2 linked regions of the Oreochromis niloticus genome follow. The protein of the gene in region 1 purifies or fractionates together with the protein of each later gene. This does not show direct contact. Links are inferred from orthologs where the notes say so. Each region holds a gene or a part of one and is shown on either strand. Other genes may lie near its edges. The genes, in order: ess2 and fra10ac1.

Region 1 (12,271 bases):
TTTTTGGTATAAACTCAACTCGTCGTGTTTGGAGGACGAAGAATACTGAGTTGCATCCCAAGAACACCATACCTACTGTGAAGCATGGGGGTGGAAACATCATGCTATGGGGCTGTTTTTCTGCCAAGGGGACAGGACGACTGATCCGTGTTAAGGACAGAATGAATGGGGCCATGTATCGTGAGATTTTGAGCCAAAACCTCCTTCCATCAGTGAGAACTTTGAAGATGAAACGCGGCTGGGTCTTCCAACATGACAATGATCCAAAACACACTGCCCGGGCAACAAAGGAGTGGCTCCGTAAGAAGCATTTGAAAGTCCTGGAGTGGCCTAGCCAGTCTCCAGACCTCAACCCCATAGAAAATCTGTGGCGGGAGTTGAAAGTCCGTGTTGCTCGGCGACAGCCCCAAAACATCACTGCTCTCGAGAAGATCTGCATGGAGGAATGGGCCAAAATACCAGCTACTGTGTGTGCAAACCTGGTAAAGACCTATAGTAAACGTTTGACCTCTGTTATTGCCAACAAAGGTTATGTTACAAAGTATTGAGTTGTATTTTGGTTATTGACCAAATACTTATTTGCCACCCTGATTTACGAATAAATTCTTTACAAATCCTACCATGTGTATTCATGGATTTTTTTTTCACATTCTGTCTCTCACAGTTGACGTGTACCTCTGGTGCAAATTACTGGCCTCTGTCATCATTTTAGGTGGGGGCACTTGCACAATCGGTGGTTGACTAAATACTTTTTTGCCCCACTGTAAATGTCAAAAGAGGGATTAACAGCGAGACGTGGATGTGAAGCTTTAACAAATTACATATTTATTGCATGACGTTATGTGTTCATCACCCTGCTTACTTACCTCCATCTACAGCTTTAGCAGAATAAGTGGAAGCAGGGGATCCCGACCGGCCCACTGGTGTTTCAAAGCTAGCAGGCGTCACATCTTACACAAACAGAAGAGAAAGAAAAAATTTCAATGAGAAAAAACACCTGTTGAATTCAAGTATTTTATCAGTATTTTACTTGGAGAACACAAAATGTCTTATTTAATTCCACTTCACTCACATGGTGCAGAAGACTGTGGTGTAGATTTTGTCAACGAAGATCCATATCGGATGGAAATTTCTCTCATCCTCTCCAGGTCTCCATTTTCCTCTGCTTCAAGATATTCCTTCTGTGCCTGCAGCTTTGTCACATCTGGGAAAAAGTCCCTCTGGATAATTTTCTCTAAGCTCTGTCAACAAAAACCAAACACAGGCAGAAGGTTAATACAGAGGACATATTACCAGGAAATATGGGCTTATGGCACATAGAGATGTGTTCAGATGTTTACGTACACTCATCATGGGCATGGATGTCATGGTAATTTTAGTCTTAATTGTTTCTTTGAATAGTTTATTTCCATGGTGCAATTACTGTACAGTATACATCTTTAATGAATTAAAAAAACAACAACAACAACAAAACAAGAGTGTACACATTTGAATTCACTTTAGATTTTCTCTAATCCAAACAGGGTTACATTTATGTATACAGGTTCAATATATACACACTGACTTAAATCGTTTGAGTATTGCTAAAGGTTTAACAAAGCCAAAACAAGGGCAAGGACACGGCAAGGACAAAACCTTGTGTAACTGATCACGACTGACTACAACTGGTATTTTCTCTTCGCCAGCATAGAAAGGATTTGTTTGACTGTAGTCAGTGGATTGACCAATACTCAGAACAATGGGAAGGTCCAATGAACCCAATGAAGATCTAAGAATGAGAATTTTAGATTTACACAAGTTGGGAAGATCTCTTGAAGCCATATCTAAACAACTGCAAATTACAAGATCATCAGTTGAAATAACTGTATGTAAAATGATGGCGTCAGCTCCAGGCTCCTGAGATGCTGCGCAGATGAACTGTGTGACATCCTAGTTTATCTGTTCAACCTGAGCCTGTCACTGGGGAAAGTACCACAGCTGTGGAAGACCTCCTGTGTGGTACCGGTACCAAAGACCTCCCATTCCAAGGACCTCAGCAGCTACAGGCCGGTAGCCCTGACATCGCATCTGATGAAGACCCTCGAGAGGTTGGTTCTAAACCATCTGCGCTCCCTGGTGAGGTCTTCATTGGATCCGCTGCAGTTTGCTTACCAGCCTGGCATCGGGGTGGAGGACGCCATCATCTACCTCCTGCACCGAGCTCTGACTCACCTGGAGAAACCTGGAAGCACTGTGAGGATCATGTTCTTTGATTTCTCCAGTGCTTTCAACACCATCCAGCCACGACTTCTGAGAGACAAGCTGGAGCTATCAGGAGTGGACCACCACATGTCCCAGTGGATACTGGACTACCTCACAGAACGTCCACAGTATGTGAGGTCACAGGGCTGTGTCTCTGACACGCTGGTCTGCAGTACGGGGGCCCCACAGGGAACTGTGCTGGCACCGTTCCTCTTCACCCTCTACACTGCAGACTTCTCCATCAACTCCCCACGCTGCCACCTACAGAAGTTCTCTGACGACTCTGCCATAGTCGGCCTCATCACAGGTGAGGACGACTCAGAGTACAGACAGTGGACTCTGGACTTTGTGGACTGGTGTCAGCAGAACCACCTGCTGATCAACGCCGGGAAAACCAAGGAGTTGGTGGTGGACTTCCGGAGACGCAGACCCACCACACTGACACCGGTGAACATCCAGGGAGTGGACATTGAGATAGTGGACTCTTATAGGTACCTGGGTGTTCACCTGAATAATAAACTGGACTGGAGCCACAACACTGATGCTCTTTACAGGAAGGGTCAGCGCAGACTCTACCTGCTGAGGCGGCTGAGGTCATTTGGAGTCCAGGGAGCGCTTTTAAAGACGTTCTATGACTCTGTGGTGGCATCTGTCATTTTTTACAGTGTGGTATGTTGGAGCAGCGGTTTATCGGCAGCTGAGAGGAAGAGGTTGGACAAACTCATCAGGAAGGCCAGCTCTGTTCTGGGATGCACCCTGGACCCAGTGCAGGTGGTGGGAGACAGAAGGACTCTGGCCAAAATAACATCTCTGATGGACAGAGTCTCCCACCCCATGCATGTAAACGTTGCTGAACTGCAGAGCTGCTTCAGTGACAGACTGCTGCATCCTAGATGCATGAAGGAGCGTTTCCGCAGGTCCTTCCTCCCTGCAGCTGTCAGACTGTACAATCAGAACTGCTCCCAACAAACGCAGATGTTTACATCAGCGCTGTAACAACTTTTACTGTTATAACTGCACATTACTTTTCTCAGCTTATATATACACTAACTTATTGAAAGTTACATGTTTACTTTTTAATGCACGGGTACAATAAACAATCTGCACTTTTCTAATTATTCTAAATATTCTTAACTATTTAAACATCTTTCAGTATCCTGCTATGTTTGCACACTATGTGTACGCTAATTTAAACAACTGTACTGTACTCTGCTCTGGTAACTATTGTCCATGATGTAAATATGTAAAAATTGTGCTTCGGTTCTGTGTGTCCTGTTCTGTTTGTATATGCGTGTTTTTTTTTGCTGCTGATACAACCAAATTTCCCCTTGTGGGACAATTAAAGGATTATTCTATTCTATTCTAAAAGATTAACAGATGTGTCACCACTTTGCCGAGGTCTTGAGAAAAAATCCAAACTGTCAACCTCAGATGACAGGAAATTGGTTAGGCTGTTCAGGAACAACCCTGTAACCACCAAGGCATAAAACCAGCCATGAACTGAAAACTGCTGAAGAAAAAAAAAAAAAAAAAGTTTTACCGTTCACTGTGGACCAAGTGGGTGCTGACCAAGAAAGAAGCCCCTGCTCTAAAATCGATACCTTTAAAAACTCGACTTAAATTTGTTGCTGCCCACATGGAGAAGCCAAATGCCTTCTGGAGAAAGGTTTTATGGTCAGAAGTGACAAAGTTTGAGCTAACTGGCCATAATGTCAAGAGTTACGTTTGGAGGACTAAAGGTGAGGTTTCCAAACAGAAGTTACGAAGGTAATTATGGTTCTGTGAATTCCCAGAAGACTGCCAGTGACAATAAACAATGCAGCTATGTCTTCTTGGTTGAGATTTCATATAAACATATAAACAAAGTCAACTGTGTGACCTGTAGGCTACCTACGCGTGTACACTATAAGTACCCCCCGGTACCCTACATCTGATCTCTATAAATGTTCTTGCACTGAGATTCTCCAAGTGAACTGCATGACTGGCAGTTATCTGGGAGTTCACAGAACTGTGGTAACTTTTGTAACTTTAATTAGGTTTCTTTCCCTCCTGCCTACAGAAGTTGCAGTAAACAATGAAGATGACTTATACTAGCAGTGTCATGAGGAAAAACTTGCTGGTCAGCCAATGGCAGAATAGTTGAAGCTCGAGTGGGTCCTGAGACCGGATTAAGTCAGGTGACTTTAGCAAACGTGTAAGGCACTGCCCAGGATTCTGCTGCACAGATTTCCCCTCATGGAACACCTCGAATTACTGCCCAGGCAATGTTCCTGGTAGTGTGACAACTAATATCTGAAGAGACTATTTGTACGTCTGTTTTACTGTGTCAACAATCCGGTGGGAAAGCTCTGTTTGGGCAGAGCTGTTCCCTTTTTCTTCCCAATATAACATATATAGCCCTGCTCTGAGCTTAAACTCTGAGTTGCCTCAGTATACAGACACACAGGACCCCACTCACCAGACTGAGGAGTGTGGAGAACCAGATCCTTGATGGCCATCTAGGTCCCATCAAGAGACCCTGCGGTCTGACTGCCCCACTGTGTGAAACAGTAGCATTATTAAAAGACCCTCTGGAGGCATTGTGGCAATGGGCTGTGTGCTCCAACACAAGAAAATTTGTAAAACTTGTGGACTACGCTTAAAGCCACGTCTGTGCCAGGAACCAAATCAGTTTAAATGAACTCTAACAATTCTTCTAAGAAGAGTGATCCAATATCCAGCTAGATTTATTTAGGGCTTTTTGATAGCTACTTAAGTGTCTCGTCGTGGTGCAACTTGTTAAACAATATTTAACCAAATATTTTCGGGGTATATGCATGCCATTACCATGGCATTCATGTAACTTTAGTAACTTAATCCTTACTTGAGCAATTTGCTATTGCACTTTCATATCGTGAAGTACTGTCGTAACAAGCATCTTACTTTAAACCTATATGTAGATTTTATATGTAAACACTTTTTCCACACTGACTGCATAATATTTGGAGCTGTTATACACTTCTATGTCTGTCCAGACTAGTACAATAAAGTCTTTAGTCTAAAGAAATTTAGCTGTGTTGTACATTACCTGCCTGCTAACTTACAGTTGTTAGCTAACAGTCGTGCCTGTCTATGTCTGCTATTATTTACCTCAATGTAGTCCTCCTCATCCAGGACTTTTCTCTTCAGTGTTCCCTTATCCTTATCCTCTGGTTGCTGTTGAAGAGCCACTGTTGAGATCGCCAAAGGGACGAGAGTCCCGGACAGTGCTTTCCTCACGCTGGCGCTGCCCTCCATTGTGGACCCTGTTAGCCTCCTAGCCGGATGGCTAAATAATCTTCTACTACAAATAGCGACGAAAATTAAGCTATTAGAGGATGTTTCTTTCAGTGGATTAACACCGTTTAAAAAGTTAACCAACAACGTAAAAACCCGACACTTAAAAATGCCCAACGCCACCAACTATAACACATAAGCTGACTTTTAGCCACCAGCGTACAAACAACGCACAGCCCGAATGATTACGTCACCGGAAATTTACGACTTCTCTAGAATTTTCCAAAATAAACCTTGAAAGCGGTTTGATAGTTCGCAGACCTCAACTTAAATAAATAAATAAATAAATAAATAATAAAAAATTATATATAATATATAAATTATATATCTATATCTATATCTATATATCTCTCTCTATATATATCTATATATATATATCTATATCTATCTATCTATATATATATATATATATATATTTATATATATAATTTTTTAAAAAGGCTTTATAGACTTACGCTCCATTTACAGTACAGAAGACAAACTATAGTGTCCTGTCTCACAGTGGCTTTACAAGACCTTCACATGTGGAGTTTTTAGTGCCTAACAGTTTAATAATTTTTTATATATTTATTTACAGTGTAAACAATTAGTCAGAAGTAATTTAAACTTTTGAAACATTTTCATGCCTGTCATCACCAGAAACGAACAACATTTTGTGGGAAAATTGATATTAGACATATTAAACATATTAATGACTTCATTGTAATTTTCAGATATAGCAAACCATTCACTGAGCCATGCTGGACTCTTTGGCGGGCTAGTTCTGACTCCCTGGTCGCTTGTTTGACAAAGAAATGCTAAAGAAATTGATAAAGTTAGGCTTTAAAATTCTATTCAAATTGGGTTAAAAAAAAAAAAAAAAGTTAGGTGCGTTTTCTATGGGTGGCCCAAAAAAGGCATTTATTCTTTTCTTAAAAAAACCCCCGACAACTGTATTTTTTCTCAAGGACACTTTTTTAACAGTCTGTGCAAACTACAACAACCCATTTACAAATTCAAGGTTTTACTTACAGTAATAGTGTCAATACATGCCAGGATTTTACATGTATGGTTACATATAAGAATTATATGTTACATATATGCAAATTATTTTGATTGGATCACACAGAGCCATGCAAACTTTTTTTTTTTAGTTTTTTTCTGTGTTTCCCACAACAAATGAAAGTCTTTTCTGACGTCTCCACTTGGCTCTTCTGTTTTTAAACCAAACCTGATTGACAGAAAAGAGGCAACATTGTTGAGCTGTCATTTTATTAAATTCAGTATCTACAACAGTTTTTATTCACATTTACATTATTAGCATACCATCATATTTAATAAAAACAATTATGTGATGCTGCTGTGTTACCTCCACTCTCTCTTCTCTTAAGTGAGTGCGCTGTGCGAGTTTCTCTCTTGTGTTCACGTCTGGGTACTGGTTCTGCAGGAACAGCTCCTCCAGTGCATCCAGCTGTTCCTCGGTGAAAATGGTCCGGTGACGCCGGGTTCGCCTCTGCAGCTGAGTGGGTGACTGCTCCTCCCTGTGAGTGTCTCCCAGCCTGCACGAATCTGAGAGGATTGCTGGGTTCCAGCCATACTGACAAGCTGCAGGGAGGGGGTCTGATTTAAGGTTGGGGGAGCAGAATCAAGCTCAACCACAGACAAAAGCAGAAGGTGTGGTCCTACCTTCGTGGATGAAGTCAGGCTGGAGTATGTCAGCACAGTGGGAGCAGTAGCAGCAGCACAGGCAGGCATGATGAACCGCCTCTGTTTGGCCTCCAGCAGGACTCACCGTCTTCTCTTTTAAGCCAAGACCACTCGCTCCGTAGGACCGTTTATCTCCACTGCTGCTTGGATACTTCAGGATGTTCTCAATAGTAAAGGGAAACTTCTGCCTCTCCATCCTGATCAGTCCTTCCACCTCCAAAGAAGTTCCAGTGAAAGCTCAAAAGCAGTGGTGATCACAGGATATTGTGACACACACACACAGAGCACTCTTCGAGCCTCAGTTGCTCTTCTCCTTCTCCTTCTTCTCTCTACAGGAGCGTGTCAAGCCCTTATAGTGAAATTGGGAGGCCAAAAAAAAGAAAAAAAAAAGTAAAACTATAATCCCCCCCTATGGACCAGTCACATAAAAACGGTTGAAACCTAATTCCTTGCTAATCTGGGCAGTTTTGTGAAGAGGTTAGGGAGGACGGCAGATTCAGTTAATCTTGCCTCATTCCTTTCTTCAAAAGAAATCAGATTTCACTGCATAAAATGAGAAGTGGAGAGCTCCTAAGATCCTTATTGTTAAGGTTTTAGAGGAAAGGGGATTTCTTGGTATTAGAAACCTGGATTTAAAGATGAGCGTTCTTGGTGTGGCCACAGACTTGTGTATGCTGAATCTGAGGATTAGTTCTTCAAATTCACTTCATAATGTCGCTTCCGCGTTTAGCTCTGTCAACAAACGATCCTGCATAAATTGGTATATTTATTTACATAAGCTGCGGCTACACTGTCAACAACAATGCACACTTAAAGTGATTACAAAGTGATTAGGGAGCTGCAGATGACGGGGTGACTCATTTGGCCCGTGTCAGTTATGTATGGTGACACTGATGGATCTGTATGTTTGCACACAGCGAGAGAAAATTCGGAGAAATGGATCCATCCCAGTGGTTTGTATTCACGATCGTGCATCATGTGTCTTATCTTTGTGCTGCAGTCTTTTCAGTCTGACTTTTCTGACAATGTGCACGGCTGAGGTAAAGCTATTACAGGTTAAATTCAGCCCCCCCACCACCACCTCCAACCCCGACAAATCCTGTGATTTCATACAAGGCAATACACCTTTTTTTCCCCCCTCCCAAAGAATTAATGGATTTCCACAATCTGTTCTAAGCTCCCTTTATAAGCGCTTTTTGAAAACAGATAACAATAAACACCATCTCATCCTTTTCACTCGGGTTTAATAGCATCCAGATTGTTGATGTATAGTTTGCGGAGAAAGTGAGATCCCTATCTGCAGTTATTGTGGTTCTCAATAGAAGGAATTGTACCATATCCATGTTGGTTCAAACAGTTCAAAATTCATTACAGGGGATTACAACAATAAAGATCCATTTTATCGTTGTAAGCAATATTTGGTACAAGGAGTAAAAGAGAAAAGAACCACAGCTGACGGGTGGCAGATGAATTCTTTTCTGCATTTTTAGGAGACTCAAAAATAGTATAAAACTCTTTGTCTTAAGGAAAAGTCTTTCTTGATATGCTGGGATTTATTACAATGAAAATCACATGAATTGTACAATGCATTTTTAAAAGTGCTTTATAAATAAGTGGTATGGTATTAGAAGGTAGCTGTGAATGAATAACTGTTCAAAATAATCATTTTTACCTTAAAATGGACAGCACCTCTGTCAACGTTCTTCTGATTGGCTGCCCCTCGTGAACAGAAGGTTTAAACACCAGATGGGTTTCTGTTTGCCCCAAATGATCATATTGATCATATCTGCTATCCCTCATATCATTTTGGGCTATGTTTAAAATGAGCATCGTCATCTTATGGATCATTTATACTTTGATTTCTTACTGTGTTGTATTGTGGGGGTTTAATTTAAAATGACAGGGCATGCCAGTGTACTCCTAGTGTGGCTCCCTAGCTCAGATAAATGATGAGGTTTTTGTCAGAAAGCATCTGATGTAAAACCTCTTTTCAATTCATTTGGATCAATAAGGTTTCAGTATTGAATAAGTTAGAAAAGATAGGGAGTGACGAGGGAAGCTATGCAACTGTTTCCTCAAAACAAAGTAGGCAAATAAGGAAATGCAGACGTGTGGAGCTGACAGTATAATCTTTAAATGTGAAGACTATGACTGGGAAAGGGTAATATGGCTCATGTGATTGAAAGAAGAAAGGTAGATGCAAAAAGCCTGTGAGGAGTGACGCAGAGTGGAACAGGATACACAGGTGGACAGGTTGACTATCTCCAGTGCAGAAGGTGCAAGTCCGGGGAGGATGTATCTACACAGCATCAGATAGTAGTCTGTAGGATGGCTTTGGAAATCAAAAAGAGGAAGCAAGTGAAAGCAGAGGCAAGGATTAAACAGTGGAGGTTGAAAAAAGTAGAATGTTGTGCAGACAACAGATAACTGTTAAAGTACTGAAGGAAACAGGCAAGAAGGCTTTTGCTGTATCCTCTGGGCAGAAAAGCAAGAGACTGGGTTGTGAAAATACAGGAAAGTATTTAAAGGAAGAAGTTGGCAAAGAAAAAGTGGGATAATCGAAGAGATGAAGAGAGGAGGCAGGGGTACCAGGAGGCTAGGCGTATAGCAGCAAAGAGACAAGAAAAAGGCTTTTAATGAGTTATATTTGAGGCTGGACGCTAAGGAAGGAGAAAAGGACTCGTGAGAGATTGAACTGATGGTCAGGGTGATTAAGGACAGAGATGGAAATACACAAAAAAAGTGAAGAGAGTTAAGGTGAAGAAGCAAAACAGAATATGTGTGTCAGTGAGAGGAAGATGAGTGTAACAGTGAAGATGCAAGGAGGAGAGGTGGTGAAGGTGAAATATCAGGCTGTACCTGGGCTCAGTCATCCAAACCAGTGGACAGAGCACAACAGAGGTGAAGAAGAGAGTGCAGGAGGGTGGACTGAGAGGAGACGAGTGTTAGGGGTGATTTGTGACAGAAGGATAGCAGCAATAATGAGAGGATGACTAGACAATAGTGAGACCTCCTGTGATGCATGGTTCAGAGACGATGGCACTAACAGTAAGACAGGAGGTGGATCTGAAGGTGGAAGAGCTGGATGCTAAGATTGTCAATGGGAGTTATAGAGGCAAGGTTGAGATGGTTTGGACATTTGGAGAGGAGGGATAGTGGATGTAAAGGACAAAGGGTTTTGAAGATGAAGCTGCTAGGCAGGAGGAAAAGAGAAAAACCATAGAGAAGATTCATGGATGTAGTGAAGCAGGAAGTGCAGAGGGTTGGTGTGACAGAGGAGGACGCTGGGGAGATGGTGAGATGGAGGCAGATGAACCCTGTGAACCCTAAAGGGAGAAGCTGAAAGAAGAGAAGAAGAAGACACTGTCTGTGTTTTATGAGAAGACTGAATAAATAAACTAAATGAGGCGGAGGCTGAATGAGACACTGTAATCATTGTAATAACTTCTCTGCCTTTTTTGTAGTGTGACACTGCATTTGGAAGACAGAGCCTGGAAAATATTAGTTGCCACACAGAATGGTGATTTGCTTGGATGCTTTTGAGTGTGTGCGCTCTTTAGGGTTACGTGTCACGATCTGATATTTTAAATGGCTATTCAGACAGAAAGCGCGTGGGCGGAAAAAATGAGAAGATTAAAGGACACAAATCAAATCAGTGCACATCAGACAGGAGACACTGGATTATAAATACACCCACACACGGACTGTTGATAAACGAGCACGGAGCTGTGCAAGGCAGCAGAACGCTCACGTGTGAAAATGCTCAGCTTCTCTGCTTGGTGTTTGGACCCGGGCCCGATACCTCCTGCAGAAACAGAGACTGAATCAGGGTGACCGGGGGATCATACCCTCCTACTCTTTCTGTTTCCTCCTGAACTTGTGCAGAAAAAAAACTGTAGACATGTTAGATATTATGCACCAACAGGGAGTAGGAATCTGGAGTGCCACCCCATTGTTGCATAAAGTATTTTTTTATTGCATTGCACAATGTTTTTCTTTATTGTGTTTTTAAAAAAAAATATTATTTCCCCCCAAGGACCTGAAGTGGGATCTGGTGTTTAGTTTGTTTTGCTTCAAAATCATGCTGCAAGACTGAGCTTGCAAGAAAAAGATGGAATCAAAATGGGAGTAACAGTGAAAAATTGCGCAATTTCTTTTTTTGGTGTGCTTTTTTCATTCTGCAGCTCAGGTTATAGAGCCTCTCTTCCTCTTCACACTCAGATTTTAAATTTTATTCATTTTCCCAAAAAATAAATAACAGCTAAACAGACAAGAAACACATTAAACAAATTAAAGATTAGATTTGTATCATTTTCATTTCATTTCATTGACAGCTCAAATGCACACATAAACAAAGACTTCAAGAGGTTTGTGCAGATGTTCTGCTCTTTATCACCTTTTTAAAAAAACTTTTTTTTAAAGGAGTGCACACTTCACTGCGGATTGATCGACACAGGCCCTTAAAAGGCCTTTTCAAGCTTTTTCCAGTCACTTCTGAGGACCTGTGAAAACTGTTGTGTTAGATGTGCACTTGAATTCAACCATACTCTGTGTGCGTTCATTTAGGGGGAGGGACGCCCCTCCAGTCCACACTTCTAGTTTCACCTCTTACATTTGGGACACCTGACTTCAGCAGTTGGAGAAATCTGTAGCACGAGGGTTTTGGTTCACTTAATATATTTTTTTCAGCCCTGCACCTTAACTGATTACTTGTGTACTCAATAAAGACAGGAAAATAAAAGCACTGACTGCATTATTGATTGTGTTTGTCTATAACTGTGACTTAGATGAAGATCTGACAACGTTCAGTAATAAATGCAGAAATCCTGTAGGTTATATGCCAGGGTTTCCTTACCTTTTTGACCTTTTTGACTCCTAAAAATGAAACAGTCTACTTGAGACCCCCAATCACAGGTTAACCTGTAGAGATGCCTCAGTATGGTGATAACATTATGGAAAGCCTAGGGTGCCAAAATAACTTAAGTAAGTACATCATTAAATAATGAATGAAATGTGTCTTTAATTAATA
Region 2 (12,271 bases), on another chromosome or scaffold:
AAGAAGACCGAAGATAAAATGGCCAGATCGATCACGAGGAATTATTAAGTAAAACTAATTAAACAAATACAAATGACAACTTCTGCTTTTAAAAAAGGAAACCAACAAGGTACCTTTAAGATCTGTTAATATTAGGCATTTGTAGCTTTCTCTTATATTCAACTACAGGAATTCATGTGGAACTTTCAGAAGTATAAAGGCACCGAGATGAGAAAAAGAAAGTTAGCAGCAAGGACTAGAAGCACATCTCATTCTTCAAAAAAAATCTGCAGCAAGACTCCAGTGGGAGGATAACCTGTGATCCCCCCCAAAAAGAAGAGAGAATGAAACCTTTTGGTACTGTGCACTCCTTGATCCAATATAACACTATAGCAATGAAAAGAAAGGTCAGTGTTCTTCGTGATCCAACCTTATTGGATGGAAACTAGTCAGCATTATCCACCAGCATGATCTGAAGTGCACAGAAAGCAGCGATGATAAGGGGATGGTTTCCAAAAAAGGTATTCATGCCAGAGCAAAAGTAAAACGTGGGCATCAGAGGTGGTACAAGATCAGTTTAATTGACAGGAAGCAGTACTACACACGAGCTCGGACTAGCAACACTTAGTCCAAGTGGAACTGCTTGTAATTGAACAATAAATCAAAAACGTTCACGTTGATGACTCGCCAACAGATTGTTGCCAAGATTCAAGTGTCTGTGATTGATGACACTCTATATCAGCTTACAAATCAAATCAAACTCCTGTTATACTCAATCCATGACAAAGACTTGCACCAGTGTATTCTTCACGTCTGAACGGGGGCGTCAGGCCCAACTTACAGAATTTATTTAGTATTGATTTCACTGGAGAGGGTTTAGAGTCCCATGCTCTAAACAGTACTTAAGGAGCATGTCTCTGGTAATTATTAATGTCCACAAATCACAGCTGAGGCAGCTAAAGTGCAGTGCATCTGACCTAATCTAATCCCACTTCCTGTAGAGTACTGCTACATGGCTTGAACTGTCAGAGTCCAAGATTACACCGTCTTAATCCGGAACAACATATTGGCTTAGTCAGCTTTCCCAGACACGCTGTTTGTGTGTTTATGAGGTTGTACTGGTATAAACATAATTATAATAATAATTTAAATGTTAAATGACTCTGCATATGTGTGTGTGTGTGTGTGTGTGTGTGTGTGTGTGTGTGTGTGTGTGTGTGTGTGTATGAGATTGTGTGTGTGTGTGAAGCTCACTTTATTAATGAGCTGTCAAGGCAGGCTCCCTTGCTGAGCAGCAGCTATTGTCCTTCCAGGTAAACTTATAAATACCACTGTCACACAAACGCAGCGGTAGACAGAGAGGTGTTGTACTAATCCTGAGCAATAATAGCAACAGTAATCATGGAACCACTGCCAAACTATCAAGCTAGTCCAGTGGTATCAGAAAGCTACAGTGTTGGGTATCAATGGACAGATTAATCCGTGGCTGCTTAAGATGGGAAGCCACAAGCAAACACGGAAAGAAAATTCAGATGAAAGGTCAAATCGTTTAAAGATTTATGACGCCATTCTGGAGAGCCATAAAGTCAAACCAAATTGCAGCAGGCATCTTTTTTTAAAGAGCCTGACATGTGGAGAGACTCCTGAGGGGAAGCACCAATCATAGGTGATGTACTGCTGTGTGACTTGTCTTTATCTCTGTCTCCATCTAGTGGAGAAGGTTGTGAGGTGTGGGTGAGAAAGCTATAATCCCACTTTACTATGGTTCACTGAGGTTCACTAAAATGTGAATTTAGAGCAGCACCGCAAGCAAAACACAAACAGAAATTAAAATATCCCGTTTTCCAACAGCTTTCTGAATCCGGACTTTATGTCAGCATTACATAGAATATTATGTAATAAGGATTCAGTTCCAGCCTCTTGATTAAATCGGATCTCTTTGCTCAACAAGTATGCTTTTTACTGCAATTTAAGATCACTTCTCCCCTTAGGGGTCATCACAGCAGATCATCTTCCTCCCTCCCCCCTATCACCACCACCCCCTGCATGTCCTACATGCTGCCTTTCCTGTCTTCCTCCCCTCACGCAACCAGTCGTGGCAGATGGCTTCCCCTCCCTCAGCCTGGTTCTGCTGGAGGTTTCTTCCTGTTAAGAGGGAGTGTTTCCCGTCCCACCGTCGCCTTGTTCAAAGGGGGTAGTCTGATTATTGGGGTTTATTATTAATATTGTGTATTACTGTATTATTGTAGGGTCTTTACCTTACAATATAAAGTACCTAATTTCTAATCTTGTCCATCCTGATCACTCCCATTTAAAAATATAAGCATCTCTAGCTTGGCTTCTTTCTCCCTCTCGTTCTTCCTTCTGTCACAAATTACCCCTGACACTCATCTCCACCCACTCCACCCTGTGAGCTCTGCATTATTTTGGATGGTTGACCCCAGGTAATTTATTCTACCTTCACTACCTTTGCTCCTTGCAGCATCATTGTTGCACCTGTCTCCTCCTCATTCACACACACACACACATCTATTCTGTGTTGCTTCAACTGCTTTGCATCCCTCCTCTCCCCAGAGCATACCTCCACCTCTCCAGGCTGTTTTCCAGCTTATTCTCTTCCTTATTCCCACTACAGATCAAACTGTAAGTGCTCGATACAGCAACATTAGCAGGAACATGCAAGCATATAACAGGTGTATGCCATACCTTTTCCAGAGACAACTTCATTCTCTGTCCGCCATCGAAATCCAAACTGTTGGGCACAGATTTTTTAAATGAGCATAAATGAGCAAAATCATATACACGAAACCGACTAATGCATCAGATCACTTTGTCATGCATATAGCCTGCAAGCCATAGCTGTGTTTGCCCCACCTTTTAATGCTTATTAGTTTTCAAAGGCAGTTGGATCAGAAAAAGAACTGATAATATAAGGACTGCATATATTTGTGTTTATTCACCCATGCACTCTTATTATTAAATGCTGTGCATGCACATTAACTTGTTCATGTAAACACATCTATAGTAAGTGGTGTCCTTTTGACCCGAAGTACTGCAACTCGCCCTTTATATTTTTATTCGTAGGCGTTCTAGAATAACTAGTGAATAAATCAGGTGCACAACCTTTTTAGTGTTTAGCGGCTTCGACTTTTTAAATTGAAATGTTTCAATTTACCTACAGTGCCTCCAATAAACATAGATAATACCAGGTATTCTGTATTGTGCTCCATGTCGGAGGTGTAAGCGTAAAAGAGATCTGTGCACAGAAAACTCATCAGCACAAATGCAGGAGATACTGAGCTGGGCCACACGTGTGCCACTTTTCATCAGTTTTAAACGTTGGCCTCGCTCCAAAAAGGCTCAGCGATCACTGGAGACAGAGCAGAGCGCCAGAACACATCATACCCCCAACTTCAGGCTAAAATGGGCTCGCTATTATGGAGATTAGTGAGACTTAGGTAATATTAACCTTTACACATGGCAACACCGCAGGGATAATTAGTGTAATCTTTTTTGGAATACTGGAGCAGGTCCTGGTAACGCTGATTGCTGAGGTGCCTACGGGCACCGTAATGTTATCTTATAGCACATGTAGGTGCGTAAGTGATAAATCGATTTCTAGGACTTAGAAATTGGTTCATTATGTTAGTAGTTTTGACTCTGTATACCACTAGCGTGGATTTGAAATCAAACAATCAAGATGCGACTGATCTGTAGACTTATTTTAATTGACAAAAAATGACATAAACCTATCAGAGGGACAGCAGAAAGTTTAGGAGTAGTGGACAGCTCAACAACACTAAAAAGCCTGAAAGACCCACAGAAGATGGCTTTGACAGTGCTTCACAGTACAAATGGATAATGACCCAAAGTATGGTGCAAAAGCACCCCGTGAGTTTCATCTGATCTCCACTCAATGCAGCATGTTTTTCAGTTTAATGAAGATAAAGCTGAACGCAGAGAGACTCACAAACAAGCAGCAACCCATGGAGGCTACAGTAAAAATAATTGCCCAAGTGTGTTACTAAGTCACGTTATAGGGGGCTAAACATGGGACCTCAGTAATGAGGATGGGCTCACTGATCACGAATTAAACTTTAGTACAAAACCACAAGCATTACCTTTTGGCAATAACTGACACATGTAGTTTACTAAAGTATAGTAAATGTGATGTGTGCTTAAGTTGTCAGACTGTAATTATAATCCATTCTTTGATATAATGCAATAAATAATACTACATAAGTCTACATAGGTAACATGAATATTACGCATGATTAGCCAACATCAACATTCACTTTCTATCAACTTTATACTAAAGTGTATTTAACTATAAATGTTTAATTTATTAAGAATGATATCATGAAGTGCTACCTTCATTCGAACCGTAATTTAAGGTTTTAATTCCTGCACCTTGTGTGAAACTGGCTTTTTTATATGACAATTTTTAAATGCTTTCAAATATTCAAAAATGCTATCATATCATACTACAGAAACTGCTTTATATAAGCTGTATTACTGTTTAAAAATTGGTAAGAAATCAATTATATTTCCATTTCTCTCACCTTGTTTTCCTTGTATCTGCTGAGGTCAGCTATGCAGTATTCTTTAAACAGCTTGTCATAATACTTTCTGGCCAATTCTTTTTCCCTGCAACAGAAAAAACCCCCACAAGCAACTAAGAAAATCAGCACACACATCATTAACTGACTTCTAGTGTAACATATAGACTTTTAAGAAGAGAACTGAACAGGTAAAAAACTAATTCATTATTACTGATGCCACTAAGTTGATCACCATGTCATGTCCTCCTCGTCCTCATCCCTCCAGAGAAAACGATGGTTTTCACGCAGCACGTCTAGATCTGTTTTGTCCTTGGCTCTACGGGGAATAAATGTAAAATGACAAAGTTTATGAGCGCGCAAAAACCGAAAAACAACTTCTGCAACTATCACTTTTAATGAAATGATTAACTGGATTGCAGTGATGTATAGACATATTGTCATTATTTTGCCTGGAGTGACAGCAGCTGACTGTTCCCCAGAGTTGACTGTGAGTAAGATTACTCACGCTGAGCGCTTGAAGTCAACCATCTGTCCTCCGTAGTACAGTATGTAATCACCGACAAACTTCTTGTGCCGCTCAAACTGGAGACATCTGCTTAAGGTCATTCTGTTGTTCAATGTTAACTTTTGCAACTGTAAACACAGCCTAAAATTTCCTACCGCATCACATTTTAATATCTTAAAAAGTTACGTTTCATCAGCCTCTTCATCGTCTACTCACAGCCGAAAGAAATGATAAATGAAGAAAGGATACAGCGTTCATCGATATCAGGTGGGCTCGTCTGTTCCGGGCTTCTTCTCTAAACAAAACAAAAAAATATAAATATAAGTGATGCATTTTTATCAAAAAAAGACAAAAAAACAAAACAAGATAATGTGTGATAGCTTGCAAAGAAAAAACAATCCACTGAGAGCATTTAATCAGATTGGCCCATAAGAAGTGACATTAACTGTAGTGTGCATCGGTAAAACGCGTGCAGCTAAAAACCATTAGCACTTCTTCGATCTGCTATTAGTCACCATACCTGTCCACTTCATTTGAGTGCGAGCTGCGGTGAGCCACCTTGGAGTGGCGACCTTTCTGAAACGGCTTCTGTAAGATTTCCTCCTCATGTTTCCTGTAGAAGGTACACATAATAGCAGAAAGCTTGTGTTAGTGGATGGAGATGTCTACCCACACCAGTGTAAATGTAAACTAGTGAAGAAAATGGATTAAAAACACTTGTGTTTACTCCTATTATCGTTTGTACAATCCCATCTCATTTGGTCAGCACAGATACAGTACCAGGAGTTCGGTTGAGCCAAATGTGAATAACGCGAAAAAGTATCAATTAGCCTACGTAATTCTTTAGCCTTCATTTGACCTTTTAAGGCCTCTCTGTGAGGACTCTCCCTGTCCATCTTCATCACTGAAGTCAGAGTCATAACCGCCGCCCCCATGAACCTGAGGAAACACAGGAAGTGATTTGTGAATCATATCTGATGATACATGTTGCACTTACCCACACACTTTCTGGCAAAATTAGGCATATTAGATAAAAATGCATGCGTACACTTGCACTGTACATCCTAACTGTGAGACATGTATTGCAACGTGTGACACGAATAGGGTAATGACTGATCTTATAGTAAACATGACACTATGTATTAACATCTGCTGCACACATATACATATATATATAAAACCATTAAAGGGTGCATTTCTGAATGAGGGAGGGCATTTTTGCATATTTCCTCTGATCAGTGCTTTCTCTGTCTGAAACAAAACAGACTCTCAGTCTCATCAGTTTAAGTCAACTTTCTTTTGATTGTCGATAAAGAAAGGGTTTAAACAGCAGCTGGATTGAGCTCCTATTTGCTTAAATCAACCATATTATATTATAGATGGCTCCTCACTTTCACACCATAGAGACCCAAAGGTGGGGGGAAAAAATAAAACAGAAACTCGGCTGCAGCAGTCTCACCTCATTCTTTCAAACATTAATCATGTTTAATACTGTAAGGGTATAAATATAACAGAAAAGAAAGAAAACGGGAAGCATAACAGGTCAGGTTTAAGTTAACTAGAACATATTCTATGCCTTTATAATTTGATCCAGGTCAATTTATTCTCGGGCCAAGCATTCCTTCATAAAAAGTGTCGACAAGTTTCCTGTCTGACGTGAATAAACAGAGAGTAGGAGAGTGATTTTATTGTTAGGTTTTAAGGTATTTACAATACTGCTTTTTGGAGAAAAGCATCTATTGTCACTGTTTTATATTTGTAGCACTTTGGTCAACATTGTTGGATGTAAAGTGCGTTATAAATAAAGATGCTATGCTATGCTATGCTAATTGTCCAATATACTTAAGACATGAAAACATAAAAACTAGAATGATCCCATTCTATTTTATTCCACAAGTGCCAGCCTCCGCTGGAAGTGGAGCAAATTTGGTGGGAACACAGACAGTTCTCACGTCTCATGAATGTTTCAAGCTTCCATAAAATCATCTCTTCATTTATTTAACCAACACTGGTTGATCTAAAAGTCCATCTTAATGGATATGGGATGAATTTGACCCAGTGTCTTGCCCCAAAAGTGATCGTCTGCTGAAAAAAATAATATCCGGTTGGCCTGTAATCTGTCAAACATGTCTGCACAGCTCGATGATATCAAGTCATTTCTACACAGAAATAACATTCCTGTGACAAGTAGAAGCTGCAATCAATATTTGGAAATGTAAATTTTATATAGCCTTTATTTATCCACGTGAAAAGTTTCCTTAACATTAAAAATGTGTTTGTCAAGAAAGATCCTGCCTTGGGTGTAGCAATAAAAGTGCAACAAATATAACAAAATACCTCTATAAAGACATTTAAAGTGGCCAGAACGGTCTGTATCGATAATACATAATGTTGAACAAAAGGTTGGTACAATAATGCAGTCATAAAAATACTTTCAAAACAGGTAATTTCTTTATGCTATATGTAACCCCTTCAGAAATCCTTTTGGCTGCAGCCTACTTATCAATATAAGCAACGATATTAGCCATAGAACAAACCCAGAAATCGGAAATTACATTTTAATGATGTAAAAGAAAAAAAAAATTGTGTAATTTATCTCTCAAAGTCACCAAATGTCTGGCTAAAAGAAGACAATTGGAGTAACTGTTACAACGAGAGACTATAGCAGCAGCTTTCCCTTACTCAGTGTGGCAGAGCAAGTGCTCAATGGTGGATGAAATAGTGAACAAAGTGAGATATTTTGGAGGTCCCGTCATCAGAAACGAGCTATGACACGGTAACAGGTGCACGACGACTCTGACTGCTGTGAATTTCACACAGGCACGCGCTTTAGCTCGTGCTTTGACCGCTTTGGACCTGTCACGCGCCACAGACACCGCTCATCCCTGACTGTAACCAGTGAAGCAGTCAGGAACCAACACGGCGTTAGCAGGCATCACCGACATACCTATCTGTGAGGGGAATAACGGGCTGCTAACAAATACGCGAACACGTCCTCACAGTCTTGTTTGCAAAAGAAGAGACGCGACTTTATCACATATATAAAAAGTTTACCTTTATCACATGTATAAAAAGTTTACCTTCACAAGATCATCCATGGCTTCTTTTTTTCCCCCTGCGAACTGCCGCTGACTGTTTACAAAATGTAATCGCCATGTGATGACGTAAGAAGTAAGTCGCGGTATGATGACGCAGACAGACATGAATTATATTTAGAAGAATCTGAGAAAGATTAAGAAATAAGTCCAAGAATAATTTATCATTTCCTCTTTTTTTTATGATATTAAAGCTTACATTGGTTTGTAGTCAGTAACTAGACTCTAAAGTCTAATTTTGTGTAAGTGTAATTGGCTGATAACAGTTTCTTTAATCGGGCATCTAATTATTTTCTAATTTATCAGTTCGTCCATCATCTAATTTATCTAATTACCCATTTATCAGGGGGCAAGTCAGCGTCACCAGGTGAAATGAATAATCTATTGGGGATGAAAGGGGGGTGCAGTACAACATCGAGCATCGACATTCATTTTAGAACAAATGGCCCAGTTACACGGATCAACCAGCAATTGATTCATATCGTTCACTTCCGCCGAGGGACACTGGAGGATGTATTTGAATTGTGGACTGAAAATAAAGAGGGCATTGTACCGTGTGAATGTTTTGAGTTTAATTCGGACTCGGGGTTATGAGATATGGTCGGGGTGAAAGGCTGACACAGCCAGTCCGGGAACAAAAATGCAGTGTTCCCTGACTTCCCATGTAACCCACCGAACCCATCAAAGGACCTCATCTGGGAAAGAAACGGCACAGCTCTCATCATTTATTACTGAAAAAATATGTCGTCCTATTAGCTATTTAACCACACATATTCATCCATTTGGATAAACAACATAAAAGGCTTTTTACATACATGTCAGGCAAACACATCTGTTTTTAATAAGGATTTAAAACGAGTTTAAAAACCACGCAATCCAAACGGATGGAAATTTTTATTTGAAAATATTTTATTCATGAAACCCTATGATATGTTTCCCCGTGTATGCTATTCCACGACATTCATTTTAATGAACATAATATAAAACACTGCTCTACATTTTTTTTCCCCTGTGTAATGATAGTCTGGAGATCAGACTTTACCAGCCATTTCTTATGCACCAATATCTGATTGAGTAGTCTTTTTGATGTATTTTTAACCGTATATTATGCCCGTCGTCTTTTCACATTTAATGTCATTATTATGCCAGAGAAGGGAAGAAAAGAGGCAGCATTTGAATGAGTGGGGCAGGTGCATTTGCACAGAGAGCCTCATGAATAGCTGCTCCCCCATTAGCCATGCACGGCTCTGAAGCGCGCATAAATAATAGCTGGCACCGCTGATAAAATAGCGCACCTTGGGGCCTCTCTCACCCTCTCCCCCCTCCATCTCTCTTTCTTTCTTTCGTTCTTTCTTCCGCTCGCTTTCTCTCTCTAAGGGCATCTTCTTCTTCTTCTTTTTTTGTCTTTTCTTTTAGCACAGCCTTTAGGCTACGGGACAACTCCAAAAAGCCTGATTTTTAGCCTTGCCTTTTACTTAGGCATGACAAAAATCTGAGATGTTTTCTGCTATTATGTCCCATCTGCCCCGCATTTGTAATCCTGCCCCTTGCAGAACAAATCCACTGGACTGGTGCCTTCCTATTGAGACGCTAGAAGCATAGAAGACTGCCTCAGAGCGCTCTATCATTAAAAGCAAACAAGACAGAGGACCTCGGCTTTAAAAAGCAAAACGATCAAACAAACTGAAAGCGTCAAATTAATATTTCCCGATTGGCTTTACACGTCGCAGATTTTGCTTGTAAGTTGCATGTGCGTGAGTGGAAGTACTCGGCTCGGGACAGAAGGAATGGGATACCCGAGCAGAGCAGTGAGGGGATGGAGAAGACGGAAAGGATGGACGTTCTTGGTTTGGGTCGTTGTTGTCAGCTTGGCTTTAGCTGACGGACGGAGAGTGAGGCAGCCCAGATGCCCCCACGGATGCACCTGCACAAAAGATAATGCACTGTGTGAGAGTGTCCGATCTGTGCCCCACACTTTCCCATCCGACGTCGTTTCACTGTAAGTGATGCTGCATGAAGTGGTGAAGTGTCAGAAAGCTGATTACATTCTGTGTCATATTTGCACTTTGATTTGTTTCTCCTTTTAATCAGATCTTTTGTCAAGTCTGGATTTAATGAAATTACTGGAGGAAGCTTTGCGCACACACCTACCCTACACCTGCTGTGAGTAATAGCTTTTAATCTATCTATTTATCTACGCATCTATCAATCTATCTGTTTGTGTATCTGTCAATCTGTCTGCCTATTTATCTATCTGTCCATTTATAATTTATGTCTGTCTGTCTGTCTCACTGCTTCCTTGATTTAAAAGTAAGGTTGTGTCTTAACAGGCGACTTGCACACAGGTTTAGACTCAGCTTTAAAGGGGGATTCTCTGTAATGGTGTCTGGATTATGCAATAGACCACATGGCTACAGCAACTAACAGCAAGAGGAACAGTGTGTGTGTGTGTGTGTGTGTCTTCCCTAGAAACAGGGTGGCTGAGATAAACAATGAGCATGTTCTCTAATTCTCCTGAAGAATTCAGCCCTAAGCTGTAGTCAAATAACAGGCTTGCACACGAGTGTTCACCTTCTCTTAACAGTGCTGTTGATTAATGGCCTTCATTATTTAGTATCTTGACAGGACTTGAGCCTATTGAGCAAATGCGTTCTTGCAAATCCGCAAATTAACAGCAAGGTCAGACTTAACTGTACTCTACGCCGCACATAATAACATGCTGTCAAGCGTCAGTCTAGCTTTCCTGGCACCGGTTCCTTCATTCTCTCAGATGACAGTGAAGTCAAGGCTAAATGTGCATGAAGCCTCAAATGTAGGAGGACGTAGCATCACGTATCTGAAGACTGAGCTTGTGACCGTTAGGAGGGAGGTAACTGAAGATGAGTGAATAAGTGCACTGCCTCATCTGTTATTATTCCCTGCAAAGGTGACTTGAAGCATCTTAACCTCCATTAAGGCATGCTTGATCAGTGGCATTTTTTTGTAGTCTGCATTAGCCAAATGTCAGGGTCACTGGCTTCCTCATTTTAAAAACTTTAACATCTTAGGATTGTAATATTTCAAGCTTGATATAATAAATAATATTGATGGTACTTTTGTTCAATATTTAAAAGAATAGAGCCACTCTGTACAGTAACCAAATGCCAGCTTAATAATAAACGAAAACCCTTAATAATCTGGTGGAGATGAGGTGTACAATATGTTGCCGATGGACACGATTCTTATGTTAGTTATTTAAAAAGTGACTCAGAAACAAGTGGGAGGGAGGGGGGGGGGGTAAGAATATTGATTCTTTGCCATTTCTTATGAGAAATATGTAGGAGTGAGTGGCTGTTTCTCTGTTTAATCTGAGTCATTCATTGACCACATACACAGTGGGTAGAAATGTTGAATGAGTCTGTTGTCTATTACAGTATCCCAGTCCCCCATCCAGTTTCTCTGCTTTTTGCAATAGACTTACTGCCACTGACATTACGTAAACATCCATGACCACATTTTCTTATTGTTCACAGCCCACACAAATCAATATCTTCTTGAAGTTCATCTCAGTTAAGTTGTAAAACACAAACAACCAGCTGTTAAGAAAAATCTATGTACAGTTGCTTTAAATATGGCAATTTGCATTAGTCTAAACGCTTCCATCCTTTATATTTTGCTTCCAAAGAACCAGACTTTATCTAATATCTTTATAATTTTTAAAGTGGTCTTCAGCAACAGTTTTCCAGGCTTTCTGAAGACCTTTCAAAAGTTTACGTTGGACATTGGCTGCTTTTTCACTCATTTTCAATCCAGTTGTTCTACCTGACCATTTTCAGAGGAATGTTTCTTTTGTTGTTGAGCTACTTTTAAATTGCATTTTAGGCACTGTTATACTAGCCTGCCACAAAAGTGCATAATTTGTTTCCTTTTCTTTAGTTGAATCTATGAAAAATGCCAAAGATAACACTGTTTGACAGGCATAAAATAATATTTTTGATCCAGCAAAGAGCTATTAGCTGAAAACTTGGCATATCTCAGCAAACTGTGCAGTGTGTCCTTTACGTAACTGAGGAAAGTGGACAACAAAAGTACAAGTACAAAAGCACAAGGCAACCCCCCCCCCCAAAAAAAGTAGATGAATAGTGTCTGAA

Evidence for each region.
Region 2: the proteins of ess2 (region 1) and fra10ac1 purify together in Homo sapiens (co-immunoprecipitation; 3 studies listed by BioGRID and IntAct, counting the BioPlex papers as one, with this or other methods). This does not show direct contact. The link is inferred for Oreochromis niloticus from reciprocal best matches to the Homo sapiens genes ESS2 and FRA10AC1.

The regions. Positions count from the first base shown.
Region 1 is NC_031972.2:22,308,703-22,320,973, reverse strand, and holds the start of ess2 (splicing factor ESS-2 homolog), read right to left. Parts: upstream 5,771-12,271; 5' UTR 5,518-5,770; coding exon 5,371-5,517; intron 1,242-5,370; coding exon 1,073-1,241; intron 951-1,072; coding exon 867-950; intron 1-866. Other genes in the region: homeobox protein goosecoid-2, read right to left, coding at 6,686-6,766, 6,905-7,140, 7,222-7,438. UniProt on the Homo sapiens protein: May be involved in pre-mRNA splicing.
Region 2 is NC_031973.2:14,959,075-14,971,345, forward strand, and holds the start of fra10ac1 (protein FRA10AC1), read right to left. Parts: upstream 8,224-12,271; 5' UTR 8,145-8,223; coding exon 8,127-8,144; intron 5,986-8,126; coding exon 5,906-5,985; intron 5,660-5,905; coding exon 5,567-5,659; intron 5,342-5,566; coding exon 5,296-5,341; intron 5,124-5,295; coding exon 5,047-5,123; intron 4,858-5,046; coding exon 4,774-4,857; intron 4,627-4,773; coding exon 4,542-4,626; intron 2,732-4,541; coding exon 2,686-2,731; intron 1-2,685. Other genes in the region: lgi1b (leucine-rich glioma-inactivated protein 1b), read left to right, coding at 9,890-10,140, 10,233-10,304. UniProt on the Homo sapiens protein: May be involved in pre-mRNA splicing.